2 linked regions of the Stegostoma tigrinum genome follow. Each later gene encodes a partner of the first gene's protein in a complex. Links are inferred from orthologs where the notes say so. Each region holds a gene or a part of one and is shown on either strand. Other genes may lie near its edges.

Evidence for each region. Proteins that work in one complex are often made in the same cells at the same time.
Region 2: rbm15b (region 1) and wtap share a complex: the UniProt entries of both Homo sapiens proteins name them as parts of the WMM complex. The link is inferred for Stegostoma tigrinum from reciprocal best matches to the Homo sapiens genes RBM15B and WTAP.

The regions. Positions count from the first base shown.
Region 1 is NC_081364.1:63,276,724-63,284,809, forward strand, and holds the start of rbm15b (putative RNA-binding protein 15B), read right to left. Parts: upstream 3,079-8,086; 5' UTR 2,785-3,078; coding exon 232-2,784; 3' UTR 1-231. UniProt on the Homo sapiens protein: RNA-binding protein that acts as a key regulator of N6-methyladenosine (m6A) methylation of RNAs, thereby regulating different processes, such as alternative splicing of mRNAs and X chromosome inactivation mediated by Xist RNA.
Region 2 is NC_081362.1:33,421,433-33,429,300, forward strand, and holds the start of wtap (pre-mRNA-splicing regulator WTAP), read right to left. Parts: upstream 3,365-7,868; 5' UTR 3,329-3,364; coding exon 3,280-3,328; intron 3,229-3,279; coding exon of another isoform or gene 3,200-3,228; exon of another isoform or gene 3,093-3,199; intron 2,907-3,092; exon of another isoform or gene 2,698-2,906; intron 2,685-2,697; exon of another isoform or gene 2,495-2,684; intron 2,476-2,494; exon of another isoform or gene 2,286-2,475; intron 1-2,285. Other genes in the region: sod2 (superoxide dismutase [Mn], mitochondrial), read left to right, coding at 3,200-3,228, 3,656-3,858. UniProt on the Homo sapiens protein: Associated component of the WMM complex, a complex that mediates N6-methyladenosine (m6A) methylation of RNAs, a modification that plays a role in the efficiency of mRNA splicing and RNA processing.

The DNA.
Region 1 (8,086 bases):
AAAAAACCAAACAAATAAAAGGTCAACGTTCAGCACTGGCCTAAAATTCCAATGAAAAGGAATAAAAGGGCTATTACAGTAAATGGTAAAAACAGAGTAAAGACTTAGACAACCAAAGGTCTGGTGCAGACACACATCTGTTTGGTTTAGCAATCAATGTCCCAAAGACACTAGAACTGAAATGGCAGTCCCAAAGAGAGTTACTCTTTATTCCTGATGAAGTAATCTCTCTCAGACAGAGTCCCTTACTATTACCACAATTAAATGCTCTTCATCCACTTTCCCCAATGTCCTCATGGCTGTCTGCAGGAATTGCTGAGAGAAGACACAGGGTGGGAAAGCGTATAGCATGCCCGTATTGTCCTTGTCCTTCACCCCACCAACAGGTAAGCCAATCACTCCTGCTGCCTGCTTTTGCTTCAGGTACGACACCAAATTCCGTAACAGCCGCTGCTGGAGACCAGGCTCCACAGCCACAGCGCCATCACCTCCCTCAGCACCCTGGGGAGCCTGCACAGCGAGCAACACAGCATAGCCATTAGGGCTGCCCTGCTTGATGCGACGGGTCACCTCGTCCAGCTTGGGCTGGTCAAGACGTAGGCGCTGAGCAATCTTCAGCTGTGACACCCGTGCACCCGTTACAGAATCCTTGAGGAGGGAATGGGTAATGGCAGCGTCACCCTCAAGTGTGAACATTTTTGTGGGAAAGCAGCTGTTCTTGAGCACAAGGACACCATTCCAGGCAAGTGTGAGTGCCTGTGCAAACTCCAGCAAATTGGCTGGCTTCTTGGTCTCTGTTTTTGGAGCATCAATACTCGCTTTATGCTCAGGCTCGATCTCACTAGTTCTGTGATTGCGCTCACTGTCTTTCTTTTTAAGCTGCACAGAGTCCTGGGCATCTGAAGACACCTTATCCTCAACAAGCAGACGCCGATCCTCCAAAGGGCCAGAGATGACCTGCTCCTTTTCAGTGGTGCCATCAGCCCCACGAGCATCACGGTTCCTTTTATCTGGGCTCAGCTCCAACGAGCCTCGAGGCTTAGCCCTCACCCGGTCCTCAAAAGGCGAGAGTACAGGTCGGACACGCTCATTGGAAAGGCTCCGGCGCTTCCGCCTTTCTTCCCAGGGCTTGGCTGCAACAGTACTGCGGTCATTCTCCCGTTCATTCAGCCAGCGGTCCCGGTTACGGATGGAAACAGCGTCAGTGTTGTTGCGGCGCTCCAGGTTCTTGGCCGGGCTGCTCCAGTCACCGTCCAAATAGGTCCTCTCCCGTTCGTGATATAGGGGCAGTGGTGGGGTCCGGTCACGTGTCCTGGCCTCCCGCTCCAGGCTCCGGTGCCGACCAAAACCATCTGCCAACAGCTCGAAGGGGACTGGAAGCGGTGCCTGTGGGTACGGCTGCTGGTAACGTGTGTCTTCCACCTTAGCAAAGTCCACTCTCAGCCGCCGGTCAGGCCCACCAAGTGGAAAGCCACGCATCTGAGCACAGGCAGCCTGCGCAGCATCCAAACTCTCGTACTGTATGTAAGCAAAGCTGTCGCCTTTCACATAGTCAATGGTGCGAATGCTGCCAAACCGGTCAAACTCCCGGGCAAGTGCAGCCAGTGAGGTCAGGGGTCCCAGCCCACCCACCCACAATCGAGTCGTTGGGTTGGCTTTGCCATATCCAATTTTAACATGGTTCCTGCCAATCACCCGGCCTGACATGGCTACCTTGGCTCGATGTGCCATGTCCAAATTCTGAAATTTTAAGAACCCATAGGCACCCCCTTGCCCCCTGGGCGGGCGCTTGATGACCACTTCCTCAATGATGCCGTACTTCTCAAAAGCACGTCTCAGATCAGTCTCTGAAACATTGTGATCCAAGTTGCCAATGAACAAGTTCCTTGTGGCTCGCTTGTCATCCTCGGGCATCAAATCATCCTCCTGCACAGGGTAGCTGTAAGCTCGCCCACGCTCGTCATATAATCCGTAATAGTCTAACGACCGTTCCCTCTCCCTTGCCAGTGGTACTGCCTCAATGGGATAATTAGTATGTCTCGTCCGCTGGTCTCGGAGGGTGCAGGCCCCCGGTGACAAAGAACGTTGCCGATACTGATACCCAGTGTGGATAGATCCAAAGTTAACCTCGGGTGGAGTACAACTCCTCCTCTTGGGGTACACCGGCTCAATTTTGAGGGGTCGATCGTAGAGCACCAGCCGGCCCTTGGCATGCCTTGCTTCCTTAGCGTCCTCGTGGTGCCGGAAATGGACATATGCCAGCCGGCCCCCTTCAGGGGTGTGTGCTGCATTAACGCTCACCTCCCCAAATTTCTTGAACTCATGGAAGAGACCATCCTCCACCGCCTCGTCCGTCAACTGCGAGCCCAGGTTGCTGATCACCAGGGTCTTGTACTCGAGGCCAGCAGGCCTGCTACTGTCACCTTTGTTTTTCTGGGCAGAGCTGGACCTGGCAGTGGGCAACCTGGCAGAGCTAACAGTCTCATGGTGGTGGTGGTGGTGATGGTGGTCCCCCCTCTCCTCCCTGCGGCTGTTGCTATTGGATTTGTCCCCTCCTCCCGCGGCTCTGTCCCGGCTCCGGCTCCTGCTCCGACCCCCCGGGTGTTTGGCGCTCAGGCCGGCCTTGTGATAGTTGCCGCCGCCGCCTCCTCCTCGGCCCGTGTCACCTTCCTCCCTGGCGGACCGGCCCTCCCGCTCTCTCTCCCGTTCCCGGGGCCTCTTGGCCGCTCTCCCGCTGCCTGGAGCCGAGCTGGGGCTCGAGTCGCGCTCGTTCTGTCTCTTCATGGCGGGCCCAAGGCCTGCCTCCCCTCGACACCCCCACCACCACCCGGCTCTCCCTCCTCTCCTCCTCACACCGACCCCGCGCTAGGCCGCCAGCCCTTCTCGGGGAAGGTAGGCCCAGGCTGCACCACCAGCTTACGCCGATCGCCAAGCCCCCCGGGGAAAGGGGACCCGCCACGGACTCCCCTTCAGGCCCCAAGCTCCCCACTCGCCATCTTGTCAAACGATACCACTCTGCCGCTATCCCCGCCGAAAGAATGCGCTCCGCTTCATCCCCCCCCCGTGCCTCGCCCTCACCCAGCGCTCTGACCTCACCGCTTCCTGCGTACCCCCGTCCGGGCGCACCGCTTCCAATGACACCATCACGCCGTGCGCCGTTGCGGCTCTGCCTGCCCGGCGGGCTTGGACGTGGCGTGTGGCGTCATGACGCACACCGAGCGGCCTGTGCGTGGTGAGGGTGCGGTGGTCTTGCTGTTTGCCGGTACCGCAGGCGAACGCTGTTCCTCGGCTTGCGGAACGCACGCCTTCCCGATGTCCCGTCATTATGGCCGAAGGGTTGCACTTACGCCGGCCTGTGAAGACCCGGAGACAAGCCGAGAAGGCCCAGAGACCGCGTGGGCGCACGGTTCAGAACCAAGGCCAAGGCTCCATCGGCAACGGGGAGATCGGTGAACCAGTGGAATGATGAGCGATAGCAGGGCCTGGAATTGATAAGCAATGACGGGGTAACGGAGGCTCAACCTTGAGGGTGTGGGAACTCCAGGATCCTTCCCGCGCCCTGGCTAACCGTCTGCACAGGAAGCATCAGCAGGAGCTCGGACCTTGTGTTTCAGGATTTAAGCAACAACCGTCACTACTGCATTGCATTGCATTCCCCCCCCCCCACAGACAAACACACACACACACACACACACACACACACACACCCCCAGCCACCCACACACACACACACACCCCCAGCCACCCACACCCACACCCACCCACCCACACACACACACCCCCACCCACACACCCCCACCCACACACACACACACCCCCACCCACACACACACACACACACACACACCCACACACACAACCATCCAGTTAACATCCACAGACAAGAAGACGAAGGTGCTCACCGGACATTGAAGAGTAAACAGGCAGATAACGCACATTGCCTTGAGTGTGTCCCACTCTCCAACTAAGTATTCAGTTGTGAATACTGTTGAGGTTGGTGGTTCGTCCAGGGGACATGCAGCCAGAGGATTGCCCGTGGTATCATGGGTGGCTGAGCTACGCGTGGATTGCGAGGAAATCTGCTAAACCAGTAGATCTAGGCAGTTCTGTATTTATTGCAGACAGCAGGCAATTTTTTTTTAGCCACGTACACAAACGCAGGTTCTTGCCTCAGAGATAGTAGGAACTGCAGATGCTGGAGAATCTGGGATAACGACATGTAGAGCTGGATGAACACAGCAGGTCAAGCCGCATAAGAGGAGCAGGAAGGCTGACGCTCCGGGCCTGGACCCTGCTGGTTTTTGCCTTCCTGGTGCCAGGCTCCTGGATGCCACTGAGTGGCTGCAGAACATTCTGGAGGAGGCATGGCGAATAGCCCGAGCTCATGATCTAGATGAGTTCCAGTGACACTGTTTGGGAAAAAAAGTTGAGTTTCAGGAAGCAAGAGATTAAAAAACAGATCTTAAAGGTATTAATCTCTTGATTATGCACAATATCACAGCCTATCAAGCATAATAGTAGGAGATTAGAGCAGATGAGTACATGACTGGAGAGATGGTGCAAGTTGAGAGAGCTTTGGATTCCTGGGGCATTGGGACCAATTCTGGGAACTTAATAAACCATGCAGTCTGCACTTCAACAGGTCCAGGATGAAAATCCTTGCAGAGGTTTGCTAGTAAAATTAGTGAATGATCTGAAGAGCAGAGGAAACAGATTAGGAATTCTTTGAAAAGGTTGTCAACGCTTAAGGGTATCTTCATTGATGCAAGCAGTATAGAAAACAAAGCAGATGAGATGAGGACACAGATAACATCACGGCAGTATGATATCACAGCCGTTACAGACAGGGACAGAAATCACACACCATGGTGCTGTCCCTGACTCAGGCCTTTGTCCTTATTTGTGCACAATGTTCCATGGCCCAGAGGAGAGGATTACACTGGTAATCAAACCCCACTTGTTCATTAGCCATCACAAATGTTTGAATGACCAAGATGGTTAATATGACTACTATCTAAAACAAATGAAAGTAACACAACTTGTTGTTTTTGATAAATAATTACATTTTTGTTTATTGACAAACATCATTTAATAAATGGCAAAACAGATTATGAACTGTAACATCGCAAACTTAAATCATATTCCCTTTAAACCCAAATATGTGCACAATAAATCACAAATAGGTCAGACTAGATAGACAGCTCCGCAGAAATATATGCTCAGAGATATAACAGCATGGAAACAGGCCCTTCAGTTTTACTTGTCCATGCTGACCAGTTTTCCTATATAAATCTAGTCCCATTTGCCAGCATTTGGCCCATAAGACTCTCAATCCTTCCTATTCATATACTGATCCAGATTCCTTTTAAATATTGTAATCATACCCAGCCACCACAACTTCCTCTGGGAGCTCATTCCATATACGCACCACCCTCTGCCTGCAAAGGTTGTTCCTTAGGTCCCTTTTATATCTTTTCCCTCTCACCTTAAACCAATGCCTTCTAGTTTTGGAATCCCCCATGCTGGGAAAAAGACCTTGTATATTTATCCTATCCATGCCCCTCATGATTTTATAACCCTCTAAAAGGTAACCCTGAGCCTCCAATACTCCAGGGAAAACAGTCACAGTCTATTCATCCTCAAACCCTCAAAACCCTGGCAATATCCCCGTAAATCTTTTCTGAACCCTTTATAGTTTCGCAACATCCTTCCTATAGGAGGGAAACCGAAATTGCATGCAATATTGCAAAATTAGTAGAAGACCCAGGCAACAAGCAATATATTCTATGGATCAACAGTCCAAACTGCATCGGTAGAAAATGAGGTGACCTCCTTGCATTTCTTTAGGCTTTTACAGAGTCACAGAGATGTACAGTATGGAATCAGACCCTTCAATCCAACTTGTCCATGCTGACCAGATATCCTAAATTGATCTAGTCCCATTTGCCGGCAGTCGGCCCATATCTCTCTAAACCCTTTCTATTCATATAACCATCCAGATGTCTTTTAAATGTTGTAATTTTATAAAGCTCCACTACCTCCTCTGGCAGCTCATTCCAAAAATGCACCACCCTCTGTGTGAAAGGTTGCCCCTTGGGTCCCATTTAAATCTTTTCCCTCTCATCTTAAACCTGTGGCCTCCAGTTTTGGACTTTCGTACCTTGGGGAAAAGACCTGGACTATTCACTCTATCCACGACCTTCATGATCTTATAAACCTCAATAAGGTCACTCCTCAACCTCTGATGCTCCAGGGAAAATAGCCTCTGTTTATTCACCCTCTCCCGGTAACTTGAATGCTCCAATCCTAGCAACATCTTTGTAAATATTTTCTCAAGCCTTTAAACCCTTTCAAGTTTAATAACATCTTTTGTATAGCAAGGAGCATGGAATTGAACGCGATATTCCAAATGTGGCCGACCAATGTCCCGCAAAGCCTGGTGATGAAAAGTTGTGAAGCAATAGAATGCACTCAGGGAGCTAATCAGTTGGATCTAGGTCTTTGTTGAGTAAAAAGTTATTCTTTTCAATGTATTTGAGTTTGTTTTTTTTCATGTACAAAGGATGAAGAAGAAAGTTTTACATATTTGCTTGCTGGAAATCTATGTTCATCTGTCGCTTCTCAGGTCTGTGACAGACTGCAACTTAAAAATCCAACGACTCTTGCTAAGCAGCTTATCAATCCAAAGGCATCTGGTGCTAGTTTGTCTCTCAAAAACTCCACTTTCTCCAAACATTGTGTGTCCTACAAGTGAACATCATACAGTTTCACATTTGACCTTTGAGTTGCTAATAAGAAGCACCAGACACATTCTCTGTAACACAGTAGCATTCAAACTTTCATTTTTCCCAGTTTATATTCCAAAAAAAATTCTTGACATTTCTTGCCTCCACCCTTGAAGAGATGGAACACCGTTTCTAAATGTGTTTCAATACAAAGTAAACGTGACATTTATACATTAAAACACATTATATCCATTCGTCTGGACACATTTTTATGAAGGAACGTTCCAACATAATTACGTTCTCACTACTAGTTCTGTAATTACTTTATTTTTTCCAATAGTTAGGAGCAGCCCTTGAATCAAAAAGCTTCATCAAAATCATTTTGCATTTCAGTTTTTAAATCACTCTACAAAGAGTTGTGGTCTGTGCATATTCGTATTTCCTTATGGTTATGATGGATGTTGTCTTCTTTTCCACAGTGGAGTACTTCACAGTGGAGTTGTAGCCATAGATCTACAGCACAGAAAAAGGCCCTTTGGCCCACTGTGTCTATGCCAGTCAAAAACAACTATCTAACTATTTGAATCCCGTTCTTCTGGTTCAGTTTATTAGAAAAATACATCATTGGCCTCACTATTCGCCAACTTTAGGTACATTTAAGTCGTCATTGGATAAGCATATGGACGTACATGGAATAAGTGTAGGTTAGATGGGCTTGGGATCGGTATGATAGGTCGACACAACATCGAGGGCCGAAGGGCCTGTACTGTGCTGTAATGTTCTATGTTCTATTCTTGATTCATCACCTTGTACCAAGATCACATTCGCCTACAAGTAATTAGCATCAATTGCCATTTTAAAAGTAAGATCAGGGATGACTACCACCAAGTCTTTCATTAGAATTGTCTTCAGCTTCTCAAAAGCTGTTTGGTGCCCATTGTGACCATATTACATTTGCCTGTTTTTACAATAAATCTGTTAGAAGTATAGTTACAGTGCTGAAGTTAGGCATGAATTTCTGAAAAAACCTGCTCATGCCCAGTAATCTCTTAATTGCCTGATTTGTTTTAGAAATGCAGAATTCTGTGAGAGCGTTCACTTTCGCTGTTCGTAGAAACACTTGTCATTGCCCTGCAATGTGTCCAGGTAAGTTACTCTCACTTTTATGAACTCATTCTTGGCATCATTTATTGTTAAACTGCTATCTGTAAGTCTTAAAAAGTAAATAGATATATGTGTCCTTCTCAGGTGTTGTTTAATACATAGTCTAAATATCACAGTTACTTCAGTTAGGCACATTAATTAAAAGTTGATTCATAAATCTTCAGAATGTGGCCAGGGCATTTCGAAACTCAAATAAC
Region 2 (7,868 bases), on another chromosome or scaffold:
ATTGTCTGGCCCCAAGATTCGAGAATCTCCAAACACTGGAAAAGTTTATCTTTGCCTCCTCTGGCCTTTCCTGCTAATACCTTGAAAGACTATGATCAAATCACCCTGTAATCGTCTAAATTCTGGAGAAAACAGGCCTAATCTCTCCACATAACAATGAAGTCCATGAGATAATGGGAACTGCAGATGCTGGAGATTCCAAGATAATAAAATGTGAGGCTGGATGAACACAGCAGGCCAAGCAGCATCTCAGGAGCACAAAAGCTGACGTTTCGGGCCTAGACCCTTCATCAGAGAGGGGGATGGGGGGAGGGAACTGGAATAAATAGGGAGAGAGGGGGAGGCGGACCGAAGATGGAGAGTAAAGAAGATAGGTGGAGAGGGTGTAGGTGGGGAGGTAGGGAGGGGATAGGTCAGTCCAGGGAAGACGGACAGGTCAAGGAGGTGGGATGAGGTTAGTAGGTAGCTGGGGGTGCGGCTTGGGGTGGGAGGAAGGGATGGGTGAGAGGAAGAACCGGTTAGGGAGGCAGAGACAGGTTGGACTGGTTTTGGGATGCAGTGGGTAGAGGGGAAGAGCTGGGCTGGTTGTTCGACGGCAGTTGGAGATGAAGAGGTCGAGGGAGGGTAGGAGGCCTGGGGGTGGTGTCCAGGTTCGACGGCAGTTGGAGATGAAGAGGTCGAGGGAGGGTAGGAGGCCTGGGGGTGGTGTCCAGGATGCCACAATGATGCCACCCGAAGGTTGCAGGAACAGCAACTCATATTCCGCCTGGGAACCCTGCAGCCATATGGTATCAATGTGGACTTCACCAGTTTCAAAATCTCCCCTTCCCCCACTGCATCCCTCAACCAGCCCAGTTCATCCCCTCCCCCCACTGCACCACACAACCAGCCCAGCTCTTCCCCTCTACCCACTGCATCCCAAAACCAGTCCAACCTGTCTCTGCCTCCCTAACCGGTTCTTCCTCTCACCCATCCCTTCCTCCCACCCCAAGCCGCACCCCCAGCTACCTACTAACCTCATCCCACCTCCTTGACCTGTCCGTCTTCCCTGGACTGACCTATCCCCTCCCTACCTCCCCACCTACACCCTCTCCACCTATCTTCTTTACTCTCCATCTTCGGTCCGCCTCCCCCTCTCTCCCTATTTATTCCAGTTCCCTCCCCCCATCCCCCTCTCTGCTCAATGAAGTCCATGCACTGTTCTTGCCGACTGACAGTGTACTCGCCCCAATGCGAATAAAATCCTCCTAAAGTAGTTCCTAGATTTGGAGACTCAGTACTTTGTATTATTTTGTGCACCAGTTCGTGGCATTTTTGTGCTCCATTCACCTGACCCACCAAGTCTCTTTAGACATTTACTGTATTTAATTTCAGACTATACAGAAGTAGCCAGCTTTATCCTGCAAAGCAATTCTTTCTCCCATGCCCAAAACCTTAGGTCCGTGTCCTTGTAACATCATCTATTAGGAACAGATTTATAAAATATTCCTGAGGAGATTGACAGAGACGCCTGGTTTAGTTTTATAAAGAAAGGATACAACTCATCCAACAGTTTGTGATAAAATAATTTCAGGTGACTATCTCGATGACTAAAAATGTTTAGTTTTTTTTGCATTATTTGACCAAACACTGATTTCAGATTAGAGTGAAATTGGAGATTACAACATCCTTTGTACTCCGGAATCTCTTGATTTTCTCAAACCTTCTCATTTGACAACCATCTTGCGACAACTTCATTTTGTGCCTTTTCACTTCTCAGTAGTGTTCTCAATACAAAGTGCATGCAAAAGGCAACTGAAACAAAAGGCACACTGCGGCAATAGATACTGCAGCGGTCAAAGCTTTTCTTTCTACTTTATTTCAACTTTTCAGAAAAAATTCCCCTTTTAATTATAACAGCCCAATTTGAGTAGCATAAAAGGTGACACACATACAGCCAAGTAAGCAAGCCTTTTCTGTTATCCACGCAAAGGAAAACCTATTAAAGATAACTCAATAGTTCAAACGTAGAATCGGTTACTCTAAGAAACTCTCAATAGTTTCAAATCTCAACGAGAAAGAAAAAGCATGTCTACTTAATAACCACCGTGGCATTCGGCAAATGCCCGTTTGGGAGAAAAAAATCTATAACTCATTTCGGAAATTAATGGCGGCTTCCGCTCTGCAGCATAGAAACGGTTTCCTATCGATCATGACACAAGCTCAATCCTTTCATTTTTGCAAAGGATCGCTATTATACCCCATTTCCGTGAATGTAGAATCTACTAGGCCCAATAACAACTTACCCTGTAACAAACAAGCTCATCCTATCCGATGCCCTAATGGTCGGCATGCATTACCTAGTTCGAGGGCTATTTTTCGAGGTGGTACGAGCAAGAAACACGCTTAGTGTCATTTAAAACAAGTGCACGCTTATAACAAGGAAAGACACTTGCTACCCTCACTTTTAGAAACTCCAGACACAAACTAAAACACTATGTCCAAAAACACTAACCGTGAGCCTGGCTGCAAGGCCCCGGGTGTAAGGAGGGGCTTAGATCACCAGCTCTTCAGAGATGTATGCGTTTTCTGACTTAATCGTCGTTTGGTAGAATAAAAAACCCTAGATAAAATGGCGCCGCGAGTCTCCGGCCTAGCAGCCGCCGAATCCAACTGACGCACTGCCGCGCCCGCAAGCCAGCCGGTTCACTCACTCACCCGACTTCCTTGAAAAATCGAACAGTACCACATTCAACCTATTGAATGCCTATTAATGCTGGGCAGAGTTCAAGCCAACCTAGCACAAGCTGTCACCACGACCGCCATTCACGTCTAAGACGCGTCACGGGAAGGAAACACGCACTTCAAAATTCAGTAGCGGAGTAACACGCAGAACCGCACAACAGAAATAAACCTCTGCTTTGGGTTGTCGGAAGAGCGCTTTTGCTGTGCCAAAAAAATTTGGAGGGATTGTAGTAGGGATGAGTTACCAAGATTCATGCTTGCGATTTTTTAAGAATAAATACTTCCGACAAAATACTTGTTTTAGTTTTGCTATTATTCCTGAATTTAGGTGATTTTTAAAAAAAAAATTCAATTAAAAAATAATGAAATGGTTGGGTCTGAGTTCAAAGGTCAAGGGCGTTGTGTTGTACGATTGCAAGCACAGGTTTTGTGTTTGTGCCTTTCGACGTTGTCCAGCGCACACTAAAATCTGAATATGTTAAACAAACTCAATTATCTTCAAAGGTGAGTGTGATATTTGTTAGTTTAAAAATAAAGCACGCGTAGGGCAGTCACCGGCAAAATCACGCTCATGTCGTTGGAGTAAAGCTTTCGACGTTGACATCGCTTCTGCAAAAATCCTCCCGGAAGGCTGATTGAGTACCGTCTCAACGACTTTTCTCGCTGCCCCAAATCCCTTTCCCTCCCCATCTCCACCCCCGTCCACCCCTTTACTCCGTTTCGCCCTTCCCCCACTTGCTTCCTCTGTCCCTCTCCCCTCCTGTTCATTGTCCCACTTCACTCATTTTCGTCCACCCCGTTCAACTTTTTTCCTTGATAAATATCAGAAGCTTGAAAGCATTTAAAGTAGTTAATGTTTCAAAAGTGAACAAGCATTTGAAAGTGAATATGTTTTTAATTTGACTGATTATAACTTCCATTTTTCATGCAGATGTTACTCCAGCATTTCTCCAGATTTTCATTGTTTAGCCTCCAAACAAAAACACACACTGCCTGATCTTCCTTTTGACTATGGTGCATTGGAGCCACATATCAGTGCAGAAATAATGCAGCTGCACCATAGCAAGCATCATGCTACCTATGTAAACAACTTGAATATCACAGAAGAGAAATATGCTGAGGCTTTGGCCAAGGGTAAGTGTACACAACAAAAACAGAAATTGCTGGAGAAACTGAATAGGTCTGTTCTGGGTTTCTGGACCCAAAACGTTAACTGATTTCTCTCCACAGATTCTGCCAGACTTAGTCAGTTCTGCCAGCAATTCCTGTTTTTGGTCCTGAAGTCTAGCATCTGCTTTTTTCTTTTTTTTAAGGGTACATGAGATCTGTGATTCAACGTATAAATTAGCTGACCAGGGAGGAATAAGTGATAATTCTTTCAAAAATCAGAATGCTTTCGGGAGTGAAATAATGGACTTCGAATACTATTACTACTAAGAAAAAAATGTGCTATATAACATAATGTGGAGCTGGGGAGCACAGCAGGCCAGGCAGTTCTGCCCCATTTCTAAAGAAGGGTCCTGACCCAAAATGTCAACTTTCCTGCTCCTCTCATGCTGCCTGGCTTGCTGTGCTCCTCCAGCTCCACACTGTGTTATCTCTGACTCCAGCATTGGCAGCTCTTACTATCTCCAAAAAAAGTGTGCTTTTTTTAAACTAGCTTTTTATTTTATCTTGCAGTCGACAGGACAGAATCATGAGAATATCAAACTTCAAAGGCCGCTACAATTTATACTGCATGAGAATAGAATGCTAATTGGTTGGCAAACGGTCATGATTGGGTGAGACTTGCCAAGTTTACATTTAAAAAGAACTACAATTAACATTTTCTTTGGGGAGATGTTGCTTGGTGCATTACCATTCGGAATCTATTTGCCAACCATTCAGTATCCTTTCTTCACACAGTATAATTTGTTTCCTTTGACATATGGTATTCTAGTGATTGTACTCAGTTCCGTATGTGATAAAACAATTCAGCAGCATGTCTCATTTTTCCAGGACATCACAAGTTTGTTTTTGTTCCTCCAAGTAAATAATGGTATTAAACTGTTCCACGTTTAGCTTTGAGCAAAGAGATAATGGGAACTGCAAATGCTGGAGAATCCGAGATAACAAAGTGTGGAGCTGGATGAACACAGCAGGCCAAGCAGCATCTTAGAAGCAGGCAGGCTGACGTTTTGGGCCGAAACCCTTCTTCAGAAAATGGTCCAGGGCCTGAAGAAGGGCCTCGGCCCGAAACGTCAGCCTTCCTCCTCCTCTGATGCTGTGTTCATCCAGCTCTACACCTTGTTACCTCAATGAGGAATTTGTGTTTCTTTTAAAGTTGTCAGTGTGCTGCAATGCTGCAGCAAATAACATAAACTGGAACAACAACATCTCATTTTCAGACTAAGCACTTTACAACCTTCTGAAATTAATATTGAATTCAACATCTTCAGATTATGAACCACTCCCAAGTTAACTCAGCTTTCTCTCATCTAATATTGGTCAAGTCAGTTTCCAGGGTAGAATCTAGCTTGGTAGATCACAGGCTGAATCATTTTGCTAAGTCCAGGTTGCATCAAGTTTTTTGGAGAGTTTTTCATTGTAGGGTTTTGTGAGATTTCCCGCCCTATCTTGTTAAACTCAGGGCAGTAATTCCCTTCCCTGATGCTTTCTGTTTTTATTTGTCCATAGTTTGTAAGTTCCTTCAGCTGAGGGAAAGGAGCCCTAGTTTAATAGCTGCAGCTTCAGAGATCTGCTGATTGGGAAAACAAATCAAAACAGTGACATCACTGGTGGCATATTGATTGGTTTGTGATTTTTTTTAAGCAGTGTATACTTTTTGAAAGAAGAGATTAACTGAGAAACAACAGAAACAAATGAAAGTCAGGTCCAGTATAATTAAGAAATATAAATAAGTAAAGTAGGGTAAGGAAAGTACATAGCATGGGAAAGTAAGTTAGCAGTATTCTAAATTATCACAATCTTTTTTATTAGAAAAAAAGAGTTACAAATGTACTTTAAAAAAAGTCACGGCAGCAAAGCTTGCACCTGTGATATACTCCTGCTGTAACTATGTGGCAATCATGGAAGCTTCAGTTGCCCTGGTGAAAATGTGTACAGAAGTGTGTCCAGCCACAGCTATTGGTGATCTGCATTTTGGAGAATCTGTAATTCTGAGCAGGTTGTGGAAAACACATTCAGTGAGCATGGATGACCATTAGACAGAGCACAGGAAGGTAGGAGTCCCCTGTGCCCATCTCACTTTCTAACAGACATACTGTTTTGGATACTGCTGGGGGAAATGATTGTGCAGGGGAAAGCAATGGTAATCAAATTCGTGGCACTGTGGGTGGGCACACTGCACGTGAGGATGTAAAAGGATGGCAGGGGATTCAATTCGATTGTAAGGGGGACATTTCTGTCACCACAAAAGAGACTCCAGAATAGTATAACAAAGTGTGAAGCTGGATGAATACAGCAGGCCAAGCAGCATCTCAGGAGCACAAAAGTTGATGTTTCGGGTCTAGACCCTTCATCAGAGAGGGGGTTGGGGAGAGGGTTCTGAAATAAATAGGGAGAGAGGGGGAGGCCTCCCCCCCCCCCCCCCGACCCCATTTATTTCAGAACCCTCTCCCCAACCCCCTCTCTGATGAAGGGTCTAGACCCGAAACGTCAACTTTTGTGCTCCTGAGATGCTGCTTGGCCTGCTGTATTCATCCAGCTTCACACTTTGTTATCTCTGATTCTCCAGCATCTGCAGTTCCCATTATCTCCAGAATGGTATGTCACCTTGCTGGTGCCAAGGTCAGGGATGCCACTGACCCAGAATACCCTACTGCTGAAATGGGAGGACAAACAGCCAGGGATCGTTGTACGTAGCGGTACCAAAAACATGGGTTGGAAAGGGGACGATGTCCTGAAAGCAGAATCTGGGGAGATAGGAAGTAGATTGAAGACCCATTAGGTAGCAGGGCTGACTTGACAGATCCAGACAGAATGTTCAGATGAAGATGAATGTCCAAAATTAGAAGTGACAGCAAGCGAGTCATATTATAGATTGTTAAGGTGCAGGGAGTTTGGCAAGGTTGAAAGGTATTTATTTTAATGCTTGGTGTCTGATGAACAAGGCAGTTGAGCTGAGGGCACAACATGAGGGTATGATGTCACTGCTGTTTGTAAGACAGCTGCCAGTCTTGATCGTCTGTTAACAATGTTCCAGGTTACAGGGTCTATAGGTGGGACAGGGAAGGAGGTAAAAGAGGAAGATGTTATTTCTCGATAGAACTATTTCAGGAAGAATGACATCTTCGAAGGCTCCTCAAATGAAGCCATGTTGGTGGTGTTTAAAAAAAACACACAAGACCAATCACATTGCTGGAGTGTACTGTAGGCTCCTAACAGCCTGAGAGAAATAAAGGAGCAGATATGTAGGCACATTTCAAAAGTGTATAAGTAGTAGGGTTGTGATAGGGGATTTCAACTTGCCCAAAATTAACTAGAGTAGTCATTGTGTGAAAGGTCTGGAGCAGAAATTCTTAAAATGCATCCTGAACAACTTTTTAAACAAGTACAGAGAGCTCTTTACGAGAGAGGAGGCAGTTCTGTACTTAATTGTAGGGAAGGATGCTGGGCAAGTGGTTGAGGTATTACTGGAACACATTTAGCAAGCAGCAATTGTAAGTCCATTCAAGTCATGATTGTTATGGAAAAGAACAAGGTTGGGCCTGAAATCAAAGGTCTCGGCTGAGGGGTGGATTATTTCAATGAGGTCAGATATGCTTTGGGCAGAGTGTACTGTAAGTAGATACTTGCAAATCCGGCCAAGGACAGTAGGATGCGTTCAATAAGGAAATATGGAGATACAGAACCAATGTGTTTCAATAAAGGGTGAGAACATTAAATCCTGTCAACTCTGGATATTAAGGGATATACTGCATTAGATTATGAGAGAAAAAAAGGGGGCTATGGCAGTAACTGAGGGTTCAAAACAGCAAAACCTTCAGCTATAGAACCTACAAGAGATTGTACAGGGAGAGTGCAGGGAAGTGGAGCTGAAATGCCCATCGGCCATGATTAAACGGCGGAATGGCCTTACTTCCAGTCCAATGTCTTATTAGGAGAGCTAAAAAGATATATGAGAAGACACGGGCACGTATGAA